Linked DNA regions of Anolis sagrei. The main gene of each other region encodes a partner of the protein of the gene in region 3 in a complex. Links are inferred from orthologs where the notes say so. Each region holds a gene or a part of one and is shown on either strand. Other genes may lie near its edges.

Region 1 (7,597 bases), on a different chromosome or scaffold from region 3:
TTGGCAGAAGCTGGGGCTAACAGCGGGAGCTCACGCTGCTCCCCGGATTCAAACCTGCAACCTTTTGGTCAGCAAGTTCAGCAACTCAGTGGTTTAATCCACTGCGCCACCAGGGATTCTAAGGGACTGGTAGGTATCCCTTATTATAAAAGATGTCTCCTATTAGAAGACTGGAAACCTTTCCGTTATATAGACTGGACAAGATGTCAACAACTATACATTTTGGAGTGTAGGCCCTTCATAACAGCAAAAATATGTGCACCAAGTAATTTAAGAACGTGGACAATACGTTGATTTTACAGAGAAAACCTAACTCGGTCAACTTAAATCTATACTTTCATTTGATAGTTAGGTAGAGTCCCAACTTGTTAATAGCTAGTTCTTAGTTCTCAGCTCTGCATGTTATGAATTTTGATGGTCTCTTATTGCTATTTTGGGAACTTGCCAAGACTTAAACCAGACATGGCAGAGTCAGGATGGGCTAGTCTGGTTCCCGAGCTCATTTAAAAAACTGCTGTGTGGCCCTCGTGCCAAGTTCTTCAACCACTGAGCAAGGCATTCCTGAGATGAAAGGGTTTTTAAATCATTTGAAGACAAGATGGACCTGGTGCCAAAGCTATAAGTGGACATTCAGCAGGGAGTGAGGAAAGGAAGGGATCAGGAGATGATTGGAAGTATATAGGTATGGGAAAATATTTGTGCTTTTCACCTACATAGTATGGGGAACCAGTGAACACAGGGGTAAATAATAGTCACAAGTATTCCCTATTTTTTAAAAAAGGTCAAATGCTGCTAGTTTTCTTATGCCAGTCATTTTTTCAATAGCAGAAACTGGTACTACAACATTTTTTTGCAAGGTTCAACAAAAACAAAACTTTTTCCATACGAAAAACTTCACAAAACCTTCAACATTAATCCTGAAATATGAAAAAAAATTCTCCCAAAATTTAAAAAAGGCTTGTAATGTCATTTAGGAAGTAGATAAGTGTTGAGTTGTTTCATATGTAAGATTCTTCCTCAAGGTAACTAAGGGTCAACAACTGAGTAATTGCTCTTATGGCTGATTTGGTGCCTACTAGTACCAACAGTTTCAGGAGAGATAATTGTATTCAGAATAGGTGGAAAGTAAACATGATTTGCTCTACTCGATGTCTCCATTTTATTGCTTTTTCCCAACTTGACAATAACTAATAATTCAACTTCTTGGTAAACACATTGATTTCATGGGTCTGCTTTAGCTAGGAGAAACAACAGGACTCTTGAGTTATGCGTGCAGCCATTTGAAGAAAAGAGCTCAAATGAAACAGGACAAGATGTTTCAGAGTGAAAACATGAACACAAGAGCCAAAGCAGCCTTGCTGTTCTGAAAATAGTTTGTTGTATTTGAGAATTTTTGCACTTCAGGTTTATTTCAGAAGGTTAATGGGGTTCAGGAAGAAAGTGCAACCTCAGATGGGAAATTGTGCAAGGAGGAGGTATGTCCCTCTGTGTTTGGAAATGTGGGGAAAGTTTCAGTTTAGAACGTGTGGCTTTTTTATGCAAAACTTTGCATTTATCTTCACGGGCATTTCAGGTTCTCAGAAAGTTTACTTTTTTGGAATACGGGTCCTCAAATCCCCTAATCAACCTGGGCAGTGGCTACAGTGGCTGCAAGATACTAGGCAAAATAGCCCACAAAAGTTATTCTGACTCTGGCCATGTTCCAGAAGCATTCTCTCCTGACATTCCACCCACATCTATGGCAGGCATTCTCAGAGGTTGTGAGGTCTGACTCTTCTTGGTGAGATTCCTTCCTCATTCTGTGACTTGAAGAAGTGGCAGCACCAACAATGTAGCATGCAGTTTGAGATGTTATGTCCCACAAATGCCAGCAAAAGGCAGGGCTATTTTAATCATTTATTTCTTTATTCACAGTATTTATATTCCACCTTTCTCACTCTGAAGGGGACTCAGAGTGGATCACAGAACACATATATACGGCAAACATCTAATGCCTTTATACACTGACAAGACAGACAACTGTTCATAGGCAGAGATATATTTCGGCTTTACCATCTTCGGCATCTTGGAGGCTGTGCTCAGTTCTGGTCACAAAGGGGTGCTGTCGCTCCACCTTCCCTGCCAAAGAGCTTTGTTTGTAAACTTCCTCCTTGATTGAAACTCAAGTGTTTTTCTGGCATTTCCTTGTGGATGCCTTAAACGCCCCCCTGCTTAAGCGGTACCTATTGATCTATTGTTTTTGAAACTGCTAGGTAGGCAGAAATTGGGCTAAAGGCCAGGAGCTCACACTGACCCGGGTTTCGAGTTGTCAGCCTTTCAGTTGGCAAGATTTACTGCAGCTGGCAGTTACCCTGCTGTGCAAAACAGCCCCGCCCCCAGTTATCCCTTTAATTTAATAGTACTTAAAATAGTACTATTAAAAGTATAAAATATTTGGGACTGTCTCTGAAATCATTTCCTTGTTAGTAAGCCTCTATAAGCCAAGAAGATTTATTATTACTTACACTTTTCTCTAATGAGGAAAAGACTACAAATAGGATTCTTTTCCTCTCTTCTGTGAGGTAGAACAGAGTAAATGTGCGTGTGACCAGCCCCAAGTCACCAAATGAATTTCATGACCGAGTCCCAGTTCACGGGCCCTTTCATACAACACTATTTCATATAACACCAGTGGTCCACCTGGTATTACAGTGCTATAACAATGTAATCTGGAGTTCTGTGGTTGAAGATTTATCTACTAGAGAATTTTTCTGGTGTCTCAGATCAAACTACAAATCCCAGAATTTAGTAGGAGGGAACTATAGTATTTTACAGTAAGGTAGTAGTGCTTCATAGTCTGATTCCCATATCTGCAGGACTTGAAGTGAATCTACAGATAATAGCAAACCCTAGAATATTATAAAACCCCAATGGAGAATCTAAAAAGTTTGCTTGTCCGAACATATCTCCCACTACGATCCACCTAGGGCCCTAAGATCATCTGGGGAGACCCTGATCGTTGTTCCCCCATTGTCACAATCGCGTCTGGCGGGGATAAGGGACAGGGCCTTTTCTGTGCCCCCCCCCCCCCGGCTATGGAACTCCCTCCCGAGTGAAATTAGATCCACTGCATCCCTCTTGAACTTCTGGAAACAAGTAAAATCCTGGCTATGGGATCAGACCTTTGTAGATTAGGCTGACTTGCTGGCATGTTGACTTATATAGAACTGATGGACTGCCCCTTGGATGATGATTTAAACTGGTGACCGCTGACTGACTGATAGATTGTTTTTATACTGTTTTTATACTGTTTTATATTGTTTAAACTGTTTGTACTATTTTATATTGTTACTAGCTGTACCCTCCACGCGTTGCTGTGGCCAACTTCCTTCCTTCTCTATCTCTTCCCTTCCTTCCCTTATTTTCTTTCTCTTCTGCTGTCTCTATTGTCTTCCTTCTCTCTTTCCTTCTTTCCTTCCCTCCCTCTTTCTCTACATCTTTCCCCCTTCCTTCGTTCCCTCTTTCCTTCCCTCTTTACCTTTTTTCTTTCCTTCTCTCCTTCCTTCTCTAACTTTCCTTCCAATCCCCTTTTTCTTTCCCTCCTTCTTTCTCTTCTTTCCTTCTTCTCTACTTCCTTCCTTCCTTCCTTCTCCCTTTGCTTCCATGCTTCCTTCTCCCTTTCCTTCTTTCTTTCCCTCCCTCTTTCTTTTCTTTCCTTCTTTTTCTTTGTCTCTCTCCTTCCCTACCTCTTTCTTCCCTTTTTTCTGTATTGTCATTTAGCTTTTCCTCATTTAGCCTTTTGGGGCTTTTTAAGTCCCTTCTGCTGTGTTTTTCTGTGTTTTAATGAGTGAAGGACATACATTGGGTTGTTAGGTGTATTGTGTCCAAATTTGGTGTCAATTCATCCAATGGTTTTTGAGTTCTGTTAATCCCACAAACAAACAATACATTTTTATTTATATAGATTTTATTTATATTGCCGTCAAATCATGTATCTATGTTTTTGATGTGGGTGCCATGGGGTGCCGATTTGTTAGCCGTCCTGAGTCCCTCTGCGGAAGTTGAGATAGGACGGGATATAAAAGCCTGAAATAAATAAATAAATAAATAAATAAATAAATAAATAATAAAAAGGGCAAAGTTTGTTGGAGGCAAATAAATGAAACTACAGACACTGGTTCCACCGATTCTAGGCTACTACTGTAACTGTGTAGCGTGGTAAGGCCAAAAGGTGATTCTAAGTCACATCACACTACACTTTACAGCCGGATGCTCCAAACAACACTTGTGGGGCTCAGGTACTGAGCTGCATTTTCCTCTTTCTAAGGTGCTCTTGCAAAACCTTGAATGATGCAAAATATCAATCTCTCATACATGTGTGTGAGAGAAAGAGAGATCAGAATGGGTTTCTTGTGGTGAGTTTTACCTCTTCCTTCTCATGCGCTCTTCCTTCTCATGCGCTGAGGTCACACCCCGAGATCACCGTGCGCAGAAACACCACATTCCCTTTCCCAGGAGAGGGCAAAGTGCCAGACAGGTCTGGGCCCATCCCACAAACCACAGTGGAGAGAGAGAGAGAGAGAGAGAGAGAGAGAGAGAGAGGCGTTGCACAAAAGGACCTGAACTTCCTCCTCACATTGCATTGCCTTCAGTGGTAACTCTGCATCGGTCTCTCTCTCTCCTGAGCAGAGAGATGAGTCGCTGTGCAGAGCACCTGAAGGGCTTCCTGGCCCGAGTGGAGGCTAAAGCCGGGCAGGAGAAAGGGCAGCTGGCCGAGGAATTCCAGGTGAGTCTCATGGTGGAGAGGGAAGCAAGCCCTTCATCCTCACTTCTTCTCCATGCTCCTAGTGTCTACACTGCTGGCCACAATATGGAATATTCCTTAATGATGCCATGGGCAGGCTGACTGAGAGCACATACAGACTGACAGAAAAATTCCCATATTATGTCTCTATTTCTTCTGATTTTATACTGAGTTAAAATAAACTGAACTTGGAAGCTGGCATGAAAAGTCTCAGACTGGATCCACACTGCCCTAGAAGCCAGGATCTGCTTTAAACTGAATTATAGGAGTCTACACTGCCAGATAATCTGATAAGCGAATAATCTGGGATCAGATCCTGGGATATAGAGTAGTGTGGAAGGGTCCACTTATTATATCAGAAGCTGACAGCAAATATTGTGGAATTAATAAATGTATGGATCTCACACAGCCACATAATCCAGAATATCAATGCTGAAAATCCCACAATATCTGCTCTAAACACCACCATTTATTCCAATTCAAAGCAGATACTGTAGGTTTTTATTCAGTTGTGTGGAAGGGGCCTAAAACAATATCAGAAAGAACAGGAACAAAATATTGGATCTTTTTTTCCATCAGCCCAGATGAATCTGGACAAAACCAGAAAGTCCCAGATTTTGTTCTGCCCCCCCCCCTCATTTTATTTAGGATATTTTCTATTGACTTCTGGTATTTAAAGATCATCCGGGGAGGCCTTGCTCTCACTCCCGTCAACAGCACAAATGCGTCTGGCAGGGACGAGAGACAGGGCCTTCTTGGCTGTGGCCCCCTACCTATGGAACACACTCCCAAATGTGGTGAGATCCGCTCCCTCCCTCCTGGCATTTAGAAAAAAAATAAAATCTTGGACGAGGCCTTCGGACAGTAGATGTATGTAGCATTTTAGAGGGACACTGACTGGAACAGCGATTCAACTGACGAGACTGTGTTATTGTTTTGATGCTTGTTGATGTATTGTTTTAATTGTGATTTATGTTTAATTGTGGTTTTACTATTGTAATTGTTAGTATTGGCATCGTATTGGTGCCCAACGTAAGGCATTGAATCTTGCCATTATTTATGTGTAAACCACTTTGAGTCCCCCCAGGGATGAGAAAGGCAGTATGTAAATACTGTAAATAAATAGATAGATAGATAGATAGATAGATAGATAGATAGATAGATAGATAGATAAAGTGGATATAAGTGATTTTAATATTTCCATATGTTTATGGTTTTATGTCCCGGCATTGATTGTTTACCATATATACTGTATGTTGTGCTCCGCCCTGAGTTCCCTGTTGGGTGAGAAGGGCGGAATATAAATCTTTAAAATAAATAAATAATAAATAAATATGATCATAGACTTTTGATACTAGTTTCCCAGATCTGTTTCTCTTAGCGCAGTATAAAATCGGAGAGAACGGGAACAAAACCTGAGCTGGCAACAAAGTTCCCTGTATTCTTCCTGCCAGGTTTTGCATACTTGTACACAATAGACAAAAATCCAACCCGTGTAGGGGGTTCCTGCTTCCGCATCTCTCTTCCAAGAACAAGTTAAATTTCTGTTGAATTTCTGTCTGACTTAGCAAGGACCATGGCCAGGGGGGAAACAGGGTTGCTCACTCACCTGGTCAGTACCTGTACAGAATTGGCCTGCTTTAAACACCTCCAAAAAGTAATTCTTTGGCTCATGTTTTGCTGCCGTGGACTCCAGTTGAGACATAGGTGTGTACTGCGGTGGCCCATCTTGCTTTTCATTCAATCACTCTTGAATTATGCCCCTTCTCCTGCTAATGTCAATATATGTAAAATACATTACATGCATGAGAAAGAATAAAGAGGGCCAGCATGCTGCAGTTGCTAGACACCATGAAACAGGTCCTCAACCACCTCCTAGTAACTGTGGGCTCTCATATTTCCATTGTTGACAATGTAAAGTGATCTGTCTCAGGCTAAAACAATGTCAGTAGCAGAGATGGGACTTTCCAGATTGGCTTCCATATTTCACCTACAGGCCAGTGGTTCTCAACCTGTGGGTCCCCAGATGTTTTGGCCTACAACTCCCAGAAACCCTAGCCAGTTTACCAGCTGTTTGGACTTCTGAGAGTTGAAGGCCAAAACATCTGGGGACTCACAGGTTGAGAACCACTGACCTATATGAAAAGCCCGCATGACAATTTGTGCTTGTTCTGTTATGGCGAGGATGCAGCAGGAACTTCCTTGCGAATGCCTTCTGAGAGAACTCTGAGGAAAAATACAAACTACTGAGCTCTGAATCAGGAGATTCAAGTGTCACTTTCACCATCTTCATGAATATATTAGGTGACCTTACATTAGAGTTAATTTTTTCACATCCTCCATAAGGGATAATAGTACTGGCTTAATTGAGAGCAAGAAGCCCCTGGTGGCTCAATGGGTTAAACCCTTGTGCCAGCAGGATTGCTAACCGACAGGTCAGCAGTTCGAATCTCAGGAGAGTGGATTAAGCTCCCTCTGTCAGCTCCAGCTTGTCCGAACGCTTTTGCCCCTACGTCCCACCTCGCAATTTAAGATCATCCAGGGACACCCTGCTCTCACTCCTGTCAACAGTGCAAATGCGGCTGGCAGGGATGAGGAGCAGGGCCTTCTCGGCTGTGGCCCCCCGCCTATGAAACACACTCCCAAAGGAGGTAAGATCTGCTCCCTCGCTCCTGACCTTTAGAAAAAAATTTAAATCATGGTTCTGGGACCAGGCCTTCGGACAATAGATATATGCAGCTTTTCGTGGGACAAGGACTAGAACAGTGACTCAACTGATGAGATTGTTTTATGGTTTTAATAGCTGTTTTGATA
Region 2 (7,398 bases), about 130 kb from region 3:
ATGGGAACATGACAGAGCAACCAAAATGTGAAAGGATAAAGGCTAACTAGGGAAGGGATTTGCTTCTGGGGCAAAGTGACTTGGTTGGAATACAGTGCTGGGTGCAAACACTAACTTTGAGAAGCTTTTCCTCAAAAGAAGAGCAGGGAGGGAGGTGTCTCATTGCATGAAAGCTGACGTATAAAACCAGTGAGGGTTATGAGGGCTGGACAGCTGCAACAGCCTTGGCAGAGTGTTGAATTGCTGTCTCATCCTTGCCGATGGGAGTTTGAAATCAGCAGTAATCCAAGACCTTGGCAAAAACAGAAACAAAACAAAACTCAAGAAGCAAACTTTTTCTTTTCCAAAGCCTGCCAGGGCCCTAGGATGCCTTTTCTGTATAATGCAAAAAATGTTGTAATGTTTGAACATTTAATCAGTCAATCTTTTTAACCTGCCTTTTAAGCAAACTCTCCTAGAGCTGCTCACAATAAAAAGATGTTAAAACAATGGCTGAGCAAATATAATAAAAACAGTGTCTGACGCAAGACCTATTCTTATGGTCACCAGATTTCTTTGAACAGTGAGAATTTCCACGTATACAATGCTTTCTTGCTTTTAGTTCCTTTGAAAGACGTTCACCAGGGGTTTATTGGTTACTGGTTATTTGTTTACTTTTTATTGTACTTTATCAATAATCTCTCAGCCCTCCATTTATACACAGGTTGAGCAGAGATGGGGACATGGCTTCAACATTCCCGCTCAAAATCCTCTGCTCACATCAGACTGCCAAAGAAGTAAACAACATTTTAAGCTGCCTCAAATTCAACTCTCTCAGGCCTTTCCTTTGAGTTTCCTTAAGCTCTATCCCAATACTTTGCTACCTTTTACAAATATCTAGAATGCTATGTTCTTAGACAGGGGTCCCCAAACTAAGGCCCTGGGTCAACCTAAGTCTGAAATGACTTGACAGCACACAACAACAACAACAACAACAACAACAACAACAACGACAATCCTATCTGATCAGCTAAAAGCAAGCCCATACCTCCCATTGAAATGCTAATTTTATATTTGTTAAAATTATTCTTAATTTTAATTATTGTATTGTTTTAAAGTGCGTTTTGACTACAAATAAGATATGTGGAGTGTGCATAGGAATTAATTCATGATTTTTTCCCAATTATAATCCAGCCCTCCAACAGTTTTAGGGATTGTCGCCTGGCCCTCTGAACAGTTTGAGGACCCCTGTCTTCATATGAAGAGAGACAGATTTGATTTTTTTTCATCCGATACAGAATATTGCTCAAACAACCCAGAACTGAGAAACAATTATAGATATATATAGCTGTGAGACTGTATTCTGTGTGTGTGTGTGTGTGTGTAAATAACAGTCTCACAGCTATATATTGTTGGTTGTTTATCTAACAAGAGCTGTGGCAGGTCAAATCCAGTTATGAATCCAACTTTAAACAGCTCTTACGACCATTAGCTGCAGCCTGGTCAGTCTTACAACAGTGGTGTTTCCAAACTCTGGTTTTCCAAGTATTTTGGATTCGGCTCTCAGAATCCTCACTAACCGATCAAGACACTTGAGGCTCCTGGGAGTTGAAGTTCATAATACCTGGAGGACTAGATTTTGCAAATCACTGGTGCATAGTGTTGATGTGACTATAGCATATCAAGCATGTGTCTCCTTGCCCCAACTATAAATATGAGTCTTGGAACAATAATAGGCCAAAAAAGTCCAGTAAAATTTGACTTCAGGTATATCATATGGTTTGAGCAGTAAATTTTGAGGACAAAGCATTGGAGGGTAGAACTGGCAACTTCTACCCTCCTTAAATTGTTTAAGGTGGATTGAAAGAGTGATTAATACCTAGTCATACGCAGCCATTCTATTCTATTGTTGTTTCAAGAAATAGGTTTGGTTCTATTGGCCTTTGAAAACCCCTTTAATGAGGAACAAAAGCCGAAGAGACACCCATCTGCACAACACAGGAAGAAAACAACTCACCTTCAACTACTTTTTAATTCTCTTTCAAGGTAGTATCTGTAAATGCTAACATATAAGCAAATAGGGAAAGAACATAGATGAGCATGTATTCACCGAAACACAGATGGGTAACTGTACCCATATTCCGTATTAGAACCATGAACATATACAAACATGATTCTATGATGCTCTGTGTTTGCTTATGTGGACACAAGTGTACCAGTGCAGACACACACACACATCAATGGACTAGACTGCTTCAGACCATGTCATACAATCTAGCATCAAAAGATTGCACAAATCTTCTCTTTGCCATTGAATTTTGATTACTCTTTCTTGTCCTGGACATACATGTGGATGCATAACTATTAATGCTCTCAACAGTATATTGGCACAGCCTCAAATGTAGGTGCAAGTATCTAACCTCATTACATGCAAAGGCACAGTTGTGTTGTCTCACAACTACAAAATGACAATTTACAAGTAGAATTACCTCTGTGTTCCAGAGAAACAATTACAATGGTATCACAAAACAGATATGAAGTTCTTATCCTCACCGTTGAGTATTTACAAATACCACATACAAAAGAAGTTGAAAGCAGGCTTGACCCTTAATGGGTTTTTTTCTACTACCAGGAGATGGGAATATTCCATCCTGGAGAAGATATGAATCCATTTGCTTTACTCTTTAAGGAGTCTCAAACCACACCTACCCACCAACTAAGAGGCTTAGCTTCCAAATGAATAATGATGACTCTCATGCCTGGTCTTCACACTTCATGACCTCCATGACCACAACCCCCCGAGATGAGTGGTTACCTTGTAGAGGACAGCAACACATTCCTTTGCCCAGGGCTGGTGGATGCTTTGCAGGTGGGGTGGGGTGACTGTGGTGTTCCAGACACAACAGAAGACCACCCCTACAGCTCTCCTTTGGTGCAAATTCTGGGTCTCTTGTATGCTGCGCACCTTCTTGAACTGAGTGGCCCCGCTGGCCAAAGCCAGGACGCCGACACCGTCTTCTCCACTTTACTCCAAAGAGATTCTGCCTGTAACTGCGCAAAGGGTTCTTTCCACGCCTCCAAACCCCTCCCTTCCCCTGGCTGCTGAAGTCCCATATGCTTCACACTCAGCTAAGATGACAGGACTGGATGCTTCAAATAGTGACGACTACGGAGGATCCATCCGGCATGGCTCACTCTGTACCCTTCCCATCTTCTGACAGCCCCCTCCCTTCTCATCCCTTGCTCTCAGTCCCCAAGATGCTTAATTAATCTGAAGGACCATCATGAAGAAGGTGGCCACGGCTGCTCCACTGCATGCAGGTCAAATCTGTCTGGGTCATTCTTCTTATGGAACAGAAGTCATCTGGAGACACTGAGCGGCTCAAAATGCAGAGGGTGCCAAGCTATTTTTGTCCACATAAGAGATGGAGACAGGCAGGGCCATGTCAGGCCAACTACAGACTATAGCCCCAAAAAAGGGAGGGAGAGGCGGCCTCCTTACCAAGCCGAGCTTTCAAGCTCTTCATGTAAAATTCAGCTGCTGTAAAGGCATACTGAAAGTCACCTGAGGTCACGTATGTATATGGGGTATCTGTCCAAACAAACTTTATTTGTTGTGGTAAGGGGAAGGGTTAACCATTCCCTCCCATCTTTTACTCAACCCAGGCTGATAAACTTTTAACAAGGGGAATTCATGCCAGTCGTATCCGGGGAAGCACTTTTTATTATAGTCCTTACAAGAAACGTGACTGCATCTCACTCACAGCTTTTGTGCAGCGAAAGGAGAGCTTGAAGCGATGAATAATCCTCAAGGCAACACAAGCATTTGCCTCCAGGTATCCGGTCACAACATGGCAGCTGGTGAGAAGTTAAAATCAATATTTAGCCTTGGAATTACAAAATGGCTTCCCTGACTTTGTCAAATATCGTGCCCTTCACAGAAGAGCTGCACCTAGTGGCTTCAGTCAGCCAGAATAAGCATTTTCACATCCATACTGTCATGGGTTACAAGGGACCTACCTTAGGCATCCATGCACTAAAAATACAAAAACAAAGGTTGCAATTAGAAATTTTGCAAAGGAGAACAGGCTAAAATACAGACATTTAACAAAGCCTCTGACAATGAAGTTCCATTTTACAAAGCCTTTTTATGTCTTTTTCTCCTCTTTTCCTACTTGATCTTCGTTGAATCTGTGAGGATTTTAGCAGCATTAATGATGAATGGAAGAATTGCAGTTGTGGTGCAGAAGTGTCTCTGTAGTAAACAATGCATAGAACCATAGAGTTGGAAGAGATCACATGGGTCATCCAGTCCAACATCCTGCAATAAAGCAAAGGCAATAAACTTTGAATTAGGAAAGAATGTGATTCTATTCCAACCAATCCTACTGTAACTGTGTGTTACAAGGTATACAGCAAATTCCTCCAGAATCCCTTACTGACTTACTAAAAATAGCAAAATAGAGAGAAATTATGAGAGTAGATAAGCATGCCTCAACCAACTCTTCTTCTGCATGTTTAATAATAATAATAATAATAATAATCTTTATTTCTACTCCGCCACCATCTCCCCAATGGGGACTCGGAGCGGCTTACATGGGGCCAAGCCTGGACAACATAATACAGCAGTAAAATCAAAACATATACAGCAAACAACAACAACATCATCAAAATAACATTAAAAGAAAAAAAATCATAAGATAAACACAATCACAGTAAGGATGAAAATGGGTGAGCCACATATTCAGGATAAAAACAGTTAAACTATAATGAGATAAAATAGGGGCGGAGCATTTATATGGAACTCATAAAACACACAGAGTTGTGAGGCTAAACATCGTATTTGAAGGGCATGAACTCCAAAAAGCACTGATTTATAAATTTGGCCTTCAAAATGGAAACCACCAGAAAACCTGGACGATGTCAAGAAAGAGTCTGGAAGAAACCAGGGAACTAGCAGGTAAAATCAAAACAAAAAGAATCAGGAGGCCTCAATATTTCCAGGAATTTGCTTCTTTTCGGATGAGCCTTATTTTCCTTATTTAGCACTCTGATTTATTCTACAGTATATGTTATTTGAGATGGTTACATTTATAGTTTACATAATTGTATTACATTGTTTCCATTTATTAACTACAGAACATCCAAAATGCTCTGAACTCTTTCTTGCCACAAATAACTTGTGTTGGTTTATGGTAGAGTAATCCAAACATTTCATGCTCTCTAGCAGAGAATTTAAGTACTTAGATCAGAGCTTTCCAAACATTGCATGTGTGGGTGACACACTTTTTAGACCTGCATCATTTTGCAACATAGTAATATAAACCTTTCATTTATATTCTTAAAAATATACGATTTACTGTTTTCTCATAGACTCAGAGGTTGTTTTTTTGTTACATTCATGCAATGCATTCATGCTACACACATACATAATGTCTTACTATGCATTACTATGAGTCAATATAGAGGAAAATCTATATCAGGGGTCCTCAAACTTTTTAAACAGAGGGCCAGGTCACAGTCCCTCAAATTGTTGGAGGGCTGGATTATAATTTGGGGAAAAATGAATTAATTCCTATGCAAACTCCACATATCTTATTTGTAGTGCAAAAACATTTAAAACAATACCAATAACTAAAATGAATAACAATGTTAACAAATATAAACTTATTAGTATTTCAGTGGGAAATGTGGGCCTGCTTTTGGCTGATGAGATAGGGTTGTTGTTGTTGTGTGCTTTCAAGTCGTTTCAGGCTTAGGTTGATCCTGAGTGAGGGCTGGGTAAATGACCTTGGAGGGTCATATCTGGCCCCCGGGCCTTAGGTTGAGGACCCCTGATCTATATACTATATATTATGTATCTTTTCGGCACACCAGCCCTATGTGTCATGAAATATATGATGTACAATTGAATGGAATTGTATGAAAGATGAATGAATGAGAGCTAATAATTTTGGAGACACCATTCTGAACACTAAGGCCTGGAGGACAGATACACTCGGGGACTTTAATTAAAGATTGCCAAACTGCTGACATTAATAACCAGTGACAATGATTAACTGTTGAACTTTTGGGGGAAAACAACATGTTTACATTGATAAGAGACAATACCTCTTTAAGTTAAGGAAATTCTTACAAGATTCCTTATGTTCAGAAGGAACTCAACACAAGCCTTGCATTTACCAACACCAATTAAGAAGAGTCAACATCTGTCCAGGAAGCGATGAAGCCAGGATGTTTCCAACTGGAAAAATATCTATCATTTATTTACAACTTTGGAACAACATCAGCAGAAAATTGTTATACAAGAGACCTTATTAAAATTCAAAAATAGTGATAGACAGTGGCTGTTAAACCAACCCCCCCCCCCCCCCCCCCCAATGCTCTGCTCCTTGGGAAAGAGAGAGATGGTGTATGTATTTGGGAGTGACAGATCTGCAATGGAACGCAGTTTGGTCACTTGCCTCCTTTTCTCAAGGGAAGAGAAAGGAGTGTAATTTTGGAGTTTTGGATTTTGTGCAGGGAGTCAGTTTCTGCTATATGGAAAACAGGGATCTGATCCTTGGCATTGTTTTTAGGGAAAGAGGATGCATTTTAGAATTTTAGAAGTTTTAGAGGTTTTTGAAATATTGGGAATCTGACTTAAGATATGTTCTTCTCCAGGAGATGACGGAGGAATGTATGCATGAAGATGAATATATGGGTAATGTGAATGCCCCTGGGCTGAGAACAGCGGTATATAAGCAAAGTAAATAAATAAATAAATAAAATGCTGAGTAAAAATGTAATTCCCCTTTGTTTGTTTGTTAGCCAGTGTAGGTTGTTTGTGCATTCAATGTAGTTGCATTAAAACTGCATGCCTGCATGTCAAATGTTGTTCTGTAAAAATTTAAAAGTTCTGATATCCTTTCTCATACTGGAAAATCGCAATAAAAAGAATAAATAAACTTTATTTATACTCTGCCACCATCTCCCCGACAGGGACTCGGGGCGGCTTACATGAGGCCAAGCCCAGACAACATATTACAGCAAAATAAAACCAAAACATAAGCAACAAGCAACAACATCATAAGTACATAAGAACATATACTTTAAAGTTATTGAAAAGTTATTTATAACATATATACATTAAGAGGTTAAAACTCTCCAGTTTTAGTACAATCTTGCATACTCAGAAATAAGATATACTGAAGTGTTGTGTGGTTTCTGGGCTGTATGTTCTAGATCCTCTGAGGATGCCAGCCACAGGCGCAGGCAAAAAGTCAGGAGAAAATGCTGCTAGAACACAGCCATTCAGCCCGGAAACTGCACCACACTCCAGTGATTCCAGACATGAAAGTCTTCAACGAGACATTAAGACGTATTGAATTTAGGTGGAATTATTTCTAGTCAGTTTGTACCTTTCCAAATGGGATAGGA
Region 3 (7,790 bases):
GTACCAAAATGCTGGTCCCTCCCCAAACTACAATTCCCAGCATTCCATAACATTGAGCAAATTCAATTACAGGAGTATCATAATTCATTAATTGGAACAGTATTGAAATTTTGCAAGGTGTTTAGTATTCTATACCAAAATGCTGGTCCAGCCCCAAACTACAATTCCCAGCATTCCATAACATTGAGCAAATGCAATTTACAGGAGTATCAAAATGCATTAATTGGTAAAGTATTGAAGTTTTACAAGGTCTTTAGCTTTCTGTACCAAAATGCTGGTCCCTCCCCAAACTACAATTCCCAGCATTCCATAACATTGCGCAAATTCAATTGCAGGAGTATCAAAATCCATTAATTGGGTCAGTATAAACCCTGAGCCTTTAGTGTTGCATGTAATGAACAAAGGGATAATGCATACATGGAGGTGAAGGTCATCATAAATAAATCAGAAAAGACTTGGAGGAACACACACTAAAGCATTCCATAGCAGTGAAAGTGGTGTCACACCACATGCCTTCTATAGTGTAGATGCAAACTTTTTCTTCAAAAGAAGGAGCACCCAACTCCTCCAGCTCAAGACAAACACAGTGCAAAGGCAGCCAAACCTATGAGTGTGAAACTTATCTCTGGAGTATGCTACTATCTCCACACGTCCCTAAACCGAAGCGAAACCAGATAAGGCTTGTTCCCTGTGGATTGCAGCAATACAGATTGTAAGGGCGGGGTTGGCCAAGGCAATTGATTGATTTATTGATTGGGGACCTTGCAAGAGCTTTCTTTCTAGGAAGGAGGCACACTATCTCCAACCAAAGGCATTCATTAACCAAGGCAGAGCCCAGCAGGGTTTTGTTTACTTCTGAACTGCAATCTCAGCCAATCCAATTGGAAAGTGATCTGAGACCCCATTTCTCAAGATTTCCAATCCCCCAGCGGATGGGAACCACTTGCACAACAGCTTTGCTTTCTCTCTCCTGACTCCTGGACTGTTTTGACATGCAGATAGGGAACAAATGTGCTTTGACACCACTTTAGCAACTAGGGCATAATGCAAGGGAATCCTAGGAAGTTGGGGAGTTTTGCAAGGTCTTGACCAGGCATTAGGAAACTTGGGGCCCTCCAGGTGCTTTGGACTTCAACTCCCACCATTCCTAACAGCCTCAGGCCCCTTCTCTTTCCCTCTCAGCCGCTTAAGCTACAAACTACGATTCCCAGCATTCCATAGCATTGAGTAAATGCAATTAAAGGAGTATCAAACTAGATTAATTGGGACAGTACTTAAACTACAAACTACAATTCCCAGAACTCCATAACATTGAGCAAATGCAATGAAAGGAGTATCAAACTAGATTAATTGGGACAGTACTGAAGTTTTACAAGGTCTTTAGCTTTGTGCTGGTCCCTCCCCAAACTACAATTCCCAGCACTCCATAACATTGAGCAAATGCAATTAAAGGAGTATCAAACTAGATCAATTGGGACAGTACTCCATAACATTGAGCAAATGCAATTAAAGGAGTATCAAACTAGATCAATTGGGACAGTACTGAAGTTTTACAAGATCTTTAGCTTTCTATACCAAAATGCTGGCCCCCTCCCCAAACTACAATTCCCAGCACTCCATAACATTGAGCAAATGCAATTAAAGGAGTATCAAATTAGATCAATTGGGACAGTACTTAAGCTACAAACTACAATTCCCAGCACTCCATAACATTGAGCAAATGCAATTAAAGGAGTATCAAACTAGATCAATTGGGACAGTACTTATGCTACAAACTACAATTCCCAGCACTCCATAACACTGAGCAAATGCAATTAAAGGAGTATCAAACTGCATTAATTGGGACAGTATTAAGGTTTTACATGATCTTTAGCTTTCTGTACCAAAGTGCTGGTCCCTCCCCAAACTACAATTCCCAGCACTCCATAACATTGAGCAAATGCAATTAATGGAGTATCAAACTGCATTAATTGGGACAGTATTAAGGTTTTACATGATCTTTAACTTTCTTTACTAAAGTGCTGGTCCCTCCCCAAACTACAATTCCCAGCACTCCATAACATTGGGCAAATGCAATTAAAGGAGTATCAAATTAGGAGTATCAAATTAGTACTTAAGCTACAAACTACAATTCCCAGCACTCCATAACATCGCGCAAATGCAATTAAAGGAGTATCAAACTGCATCAGTTGGGACCTTATTAAAGTTTTACAGGATCTTTAGCTTTCTGTACCAAAGTGCTGGTCCCTCCCCCAAACTACAATTCCCAGCACTCCATAACATTGAGCAAATGCAATTAAAAGAGTATCAAACTGCATTAATTGGGACAGTATTAAAGTTTTACAGGATCTTTAGCTTTGTGTACTAAAGTGCTGGTCCCTCCCCAAACTACAATTCCCAGCACTTCATAACACTGAGCAAATGCAATTAAAGGAGTATCAAACTGCATTAAGCGGCTGTGGGGGGAAAGGAAAGGGCCTGAGGCTGTGAGGAATGATGGGAGTTGAAGTCCAAAGCACCTGCAGGGCTCAAGTTTGCCCATACATGGTCTATATTGAACATACAATGCAATGTAGATCTAGCCAAATTGTCCCTGCCCTCTTTCCACAGTCCTCAAATCTCATTTTTTTGCTTGTGTCTGTTTGTAGGAACCCAAACAATGCAACTTGGACTTACCTTCGGTGGCCCAAACCCTGGGCAGAACCGATCCCAGGAGGAACCCCAAGCCAAGCCAACCGGGGCTGAGAAAGGGCCCCATTGTTTTGTCATGACCAAGCCCGGCTCATCCTTCCAAACTTGGCTGGAGGAGTTCCTTCTTCTTTTCCAAATCCTTTCCTCCGAATCCAGCCCGATCGGTTGGTTTGCCTTTGCAAGAGCTTGCTCGTCCCACTTTCCTTCCCGATCCCAACTTCACAACTCCGACTTTTTGCTTCCCACTTCCGCGAAGGGAAAGGAGAGAAAGAGAGAAGCCACCACCTTCTTTCTCCTCCAACCTTGAGCGTCGGGAACGCGCGCGGCGCGCCCCCGAGGAGGAATCCGGCTCACGCTGCAAAGCCATTCATTCCACTTTGGGACACACTTTGGAAGAGGCCAAGTTGAGCACTGCTTTCACTGCCACGACTCAGGACTCTTCCACACAGCCCTATATCCCAAGGCAAGAAATCCCACAATATCTGAGTGTGCAGGATCTATATCTCAGGATCTCATCCCAGGTTTTCTCTGGCAGTGTGGACTCATATAATCCAGTTTAAAGCAGAAAACCTGGGATCATATCCTGGAATATAGGGCCTGTCTGGAGGGACCCTCAGATAACTATAGGCCAGTGGTTCTCAACCTTCCTAATGCCATGACCCCTTAATCCACTTCCTCATGTTGTGGTGACCCCCAACCATAAAATTAGTTTCATTGCTACTTCATAGCTGTCATTTTGCTGCTGTTATGAATAGTAATGTAAATATCTGATATGCAGGATGTATTTTCATACACTGGACCAAACTTGGCACAAAGACCCAATATACCCAAATTTAAATACTGGTGGGATTGGAGGAGGGTATTGATTTTGCCCTGTGGGAGTTGTAGTTGCAGGGATTTCTAGTTCACCTACAATCAAAGAGCATTCTGAACTCCACCAATGATGGAATTGAACCTATCTTGGTACACAGAACACCCATGACCAAGAGAAAATACTAGAAGAGTTTGGTGGGAATTGAACCTTGAGTTTTGGGAGTTGTAGTTCATCTACATCCAGAGAGCACTGTGGATTCAAACAATGATGGATCTGGGCCAAACTTGGCACGAATTCTCAATATGCCCAAATGTAAACACTAGTGGGGTTTAGGGAAAATAGATTTATATAGTTCACGTATAATCAAAGAGCATTTTGAACCCTGCCAACGACTGAATTGGGCCAAACTTCCCACACAGAACCTCCATGGCCAACAGAAAATACTGTGTTTTCTTGTGGTCTTTGGTGACCCCTCTGACACCCCCTTGTGACCCCTCCAGGGGTCCCAACCCCCAGGTTGAGAAACACTGCTATAGGCCCTTCTGCACAACCTTATATCCCAGAACATCAAGGCAGGAAATCCCACATTATCTGACTGTGGACTCGGATAACCCAGTTATTGTGGGATTTTCTGCCTTTCTATTCTGGGATATAAAGATGTGAAAAAGGGCCCTTAGTTATCTGAGTTATGATCACAGGTTTCCTGTTTATCCCAGACTAGCCGTCCCCTGCCACGCGTTGCTGTGGCCCACATGGGGGTTCTGTGGGAGGTCTGGCCCAATTCTATCGTTGGTGGGGTTCAGAATGCTCTTTGATTGTAGGTGAACTATAAATCCCAGCAACTACAACTCCCGAATGTCAAGATTTTATTTACCCCAAACTCTACCAGAGTTCGCATTCGGACATATTGAGTGTTTGTATAGAGTTTGGTCCAGGTCCATCATTGTTTGAGTCCATAGTGATCTCTGGATGTAGGTGAACTACAACTCCAAAACCAAAGGGCACTGCCCACCAAACCTTTCCAGTATTTTCTGTTGGTCATGGGAGAACTGTGTGCCAAGTTTGGTTCAATTTCATCATTGGTGGGGTTCAGAATGCTCTTTAATTGTAGGTGAACTATCAATCCCAGCAACTACAGCTCCCAAATGACAAAATCATTTTTTTAGTGAAAGACATACATTGGGTTGTTAGGTGTCTTGTGTCCAAATTTGGTGTCAATTCATCCAGTGGTTTTTGAGTTCTGTTAATCCCACAAATGAACATTACATTTTTATTTATATAGATGTAATATTCCTAATAATATTACGATATAGTGGTATGGTGCAATATAGCAATGTTTAATGCTGATATTGTACTGTGCTAATAATATAATATATTGTATGTATATAATATATGCCTTGTAAGCCGCTCTGAGCCCCCTTCGGGGTGAGAAAGGCGGCATATAAAATTTGTAAATAAATAAATATGCTAACACAATTTTTGTTCCTAGGTTATAAATGTAATTTCCTATCATTGGTTCTATCATAAAAACATGGGGAAAGTTTATTAAGTCCTGCAGTACATTTTGCTATAATTTTTCAATGGTATTATATCTTGGTATTATACCTTCTAATATATCACGCCTGCTGGTACCAATATAATAAAATCAAAATCCCGCTGGACACCAGTTTAGAGGATCTTAATTGCTAATTAAGTTTCAACCAATTCAACATAGCTTGTGTCAGCCACAAAACACACATTTGGAGGAGGGCCAATGTGGTCCCAATCTTCAAGAAGGGAAAAAAGGATGACCCAAACAACTACCGTCCGGTCAGCCTCACGTTGATACCAGGCAAGATTCTGGAAAAGATTATTAAGGAAGTGGTCTGCAAACACTTAGAATCAAATGCGGTCATCGCTAATAGTCAACATGGATTTATCAAAAACAAGTCATGCCAGACTAATCTGATCTCTTTTTTCGATAGAGTTACAAGCTGGGTAGATGCGGGGAATGCCGTGGATGTAGCGTACCTGGATTTCAGTAAGGCCTTCGACAAGGTCCCCCATGACCTTCTGGCAAGGAAACTAGTCCAATGTGGGCTAGGCAAAACTACGGTGAGGTGGATCTGTAATTGGTTAAATGGGCGAACCCAGAGGGTGCTCACCAATTCTTCCTCTTCATCCTGGAAAGAAGTGACAAGTGGAGTGCCGCAGGGTTCCGTCCTAGGCCGGGTCCTGTTCAACATCTTTATTAATGACTTAGATGAAGGGCTAGAAGGCAGGATCATCAAGTTTGCAGACGACACCAAATTGGGAGGGATAGCCAATACTCCAGAGGACAGGAGCAGGATTCAAAACGATCTTGACAGATTAGAGAGATGGGCCAAAACTAACAAAATGAAGTTCAACAGGGGCAAATGCAAGATACTCCACTTAGGCAGAAAAAACGAAATGCAAAGATACAGAATGGGGGGTGCCTGGCTTGAGAGCAGTACGTGTGAAAAAGATCTTGGAGTCTTTGTGGACAATAAGTTAAATATGAGCCAACAATGTGATGTGGCGCAAAAAAAAGCCAATGGGATTTTGGCCTGCATCAATAGGAGCATAGTGTCTAGATCAGGGGTCCTCAAACTAAGGCCCGGGGGCCAGATACGGCCCTCAGAGGTTATTTACCCGGCCCTCGCTCAGGATCAAACTAAGTCTGAAATGACTTAAAAGCACACAACAACAACCACAACAGCAACAACCCTATTTCATCAGCCAAAAGCAGGCCCACACTTCCCATTGAAATACTAATAAATTTATATTTGCTAAAATTGTTATTTATTTTAATTATTGTATTGTTTTAAAGTGTTTTTTGCACTACAAATAAGATATATGCAGTATCCATAGGAATTCATTAATGTTTCTTCAAATTATAACTCGGCCCTCCAACAGTTTGAGGGACTGTGACCTGGCCCTCAGTTTAAAAAGTTTGAGGACCCCTGGTCTAGATCTAGGGAAGTCATGCTACCCCTCTATTCCGCTTTGGTTAGACCACACCTGGAATATTGTGTCCAATTCTGGGCACCACAATTCAAGAGAGATATTGACAAGCTGGAATGTGTCCAGAGGAGGGCGACTCAAATGATCAAGGGTCTGGAGAACAAGCCCTATGAGGAGCGGCTTAAGGAGCTGGGCATGTTTAGCCTGAAGAAGAGAAGGTTGAGAGGAGATATGATAGCCATGTATAAATATGTGAGAGGAAGCAACAGGGAGGAGGGAGCAAGCTTGTTTTCTGCTTCCTTGGAAACTAGGACGCGGAACAATGGCTTCAAACTACAAGAGAGGAGATTCCCTCTGAACAAGAGGAAGAACTTCCTGACTGTGAGGGCCGTTCAGCAGTGGAACTCTCTGCCCCGGAGTGTAGTGGAGGCTCCTTCTTTGGAAGCTTTTAAACAGAGGCTGGATGGCCATCTGTCAGGGGTGATTTGAATGCAATATTCCTGCTTCTTGGCAGGGGTTTGGACTGGATGGCCCACGAGGTCTCTTCCAACTCTTTGATTCTATGATTCTATGATTTCTGGAATATAACAACTACTTTCAAGGTAAATACCGCACAATTAAACAGGAAATAACACTTTCAAACCAGGAACAGAATTTTTTTCAAATTTTGTTACATAGTGTAATGAGAAATGAGGAAAACCACAATGAGGATGGATTGAGTCAATCACGGAAGCCAAATCCCTGAGTATGAGGAACCTGAGCAGGGCTATAGGTCACTGAACTCATTGACATCCTGCATCCATAAGGTCAGTATAAGTTGAATCTGACTTGACAATAACTTCGGCTTCAGTTGATTCACTGCTTAAACAAATGTTTCATCTTGGTTACTTCAATCAAGTGGATATACTTGAACATTGCCAAAACATGGGCGTAAGTGGTTTTCCGAGGAACTGAAAGAAGTGGGGAAACATTACTGTTTAGTCAACAAATGTTACCATAGTACTTGTTCGGAACAGGGGTGGAAACATACCAGGTTTCAAGCAGCTGAAACACAAAACATGCCGTTAGCTTTCTTTTCTCTTTATTGGTTTTTATTCAGAATATAATACAATACAGAAAAACATTTCTTCATAATAGATATAAAACTATTACAACATAAATAATTCCAGCACTAATAAAAACATATTGAACACACAACTACTATGACTATTCTATGAAACACACACTCATTGTCAGTTGATTTTTACTCGTTTTCCAACTTTTTTTAGATAACACTATATCAATGTTTCTCAACCTTCCTACTGCCGCAATCCCATAATAC

The links. Proteins that work in one complex are often made in the same cells at the same time.
Region 1: the proteins of ERBB2 (region 3) and PTPN18 are in contact, whole or in part, in a crystal structure (PDB 4NND), measured with the Homo sapiens proteins. The link is inferred for Anolis sagrei from reciprocal best matches to the Homo sapiens genes ERBB2 and PTPN18. Residues at the interface, in NP_004439.2 of Homo sapiens: Leu1109, Gln1110, Arg1111, Tyr1112, Ser1113, Glu1114; in NP_055184.2 of Homo sapiens: Arg61, Tyr62, Lys63, Asp64, Val65, Arg138, Asp197, Arg198, Ser230, Ala231, Gly232, Cys233, Gly234, Arg235, Arg268, Ala273, Gln276.
Region 2: the proteins of ERBB2 (region 3) and GRB7 are in contact, whole or in part, in an NMR structure (PDB 2L4K), measured with the Homo sapiens proteins. The link is inferred for Anolis sagrei from reciprocal best matches to the Homo sapiens genes ERBB2 and GRB7. Residues at the interface, in NP_004439.2 of Homo sapiens: Pro1135, Gln1136, Pro1137, Glu1138, Tyr1139, Val1140, Asn1141, Gln1142, Pro1143, Asp1144; in NP_001025173.1 of Homo sapiens: Ser437, Arg438, Glu439, Gln442, Arg458, Glu459, Ser460, Asn463, Gly466, Val468, Lys476, Lys478, His479, Tyr480, Leu481, Ile482, Tyr492, Phe493, Ser494, Met495.

The regions. Positions count from the first base shown.
Region 1 is NC_090022.1:193,665,596-193,673,192, reverse strand, and holds the start of PTPN18 (tyrosine-protein phosphatase non-receptor type 18), read left to right. Parts: upstream 1-4,597; 5' UTR 4,598-4,672; coding exon 4,673-4,765; intron 4,766-7,597. UniProt on the Homo sapiens protein: Differentially dephosphorylate autophosphorylated tyrosine kinases which are known to be overexpressed in tumor tissues.
Region 2 is NC_090026.1:42,671,203-42,678,600, forward strand, and holds the start of GRB7 (growth factor receptor-bound protein 7), read right to left. Parts: upstream 3,001-7,398; 5' UTR 2,817-3,000; coding exon 2,795-2,816; intron 1-2,794. UniProt on the Homo sapiens protein: Adapter protein that interacts with the cytoplasmic domain of numerous receptor kinases and modulates down-stream signaling. Promotes activation of down-stream protein kinases, including STAT3, AKT1, MAPK1 and/or MAPK3. Promotes activation of HRAS.
Region 3 is NC_090026.1:42,798,723-42,806,512, forward strand, and holds the start of ERBB2 (receptor tyrosine-protein kinase erbB-2), read right to left. Parts: upstream 3,012-7,790; 5' UTR 2,759-3,011; coding exon 2,677-2,758; intron 1-2,676. UniProt on the Homo sapiens protein: Protein tyrosine kinase that is part of several cell surface receptor complexes, but that apparently needs a coreceptor for ligand binding. Essential component of a neuregulin-receptor complex, although neuregulins do not interact with it alone.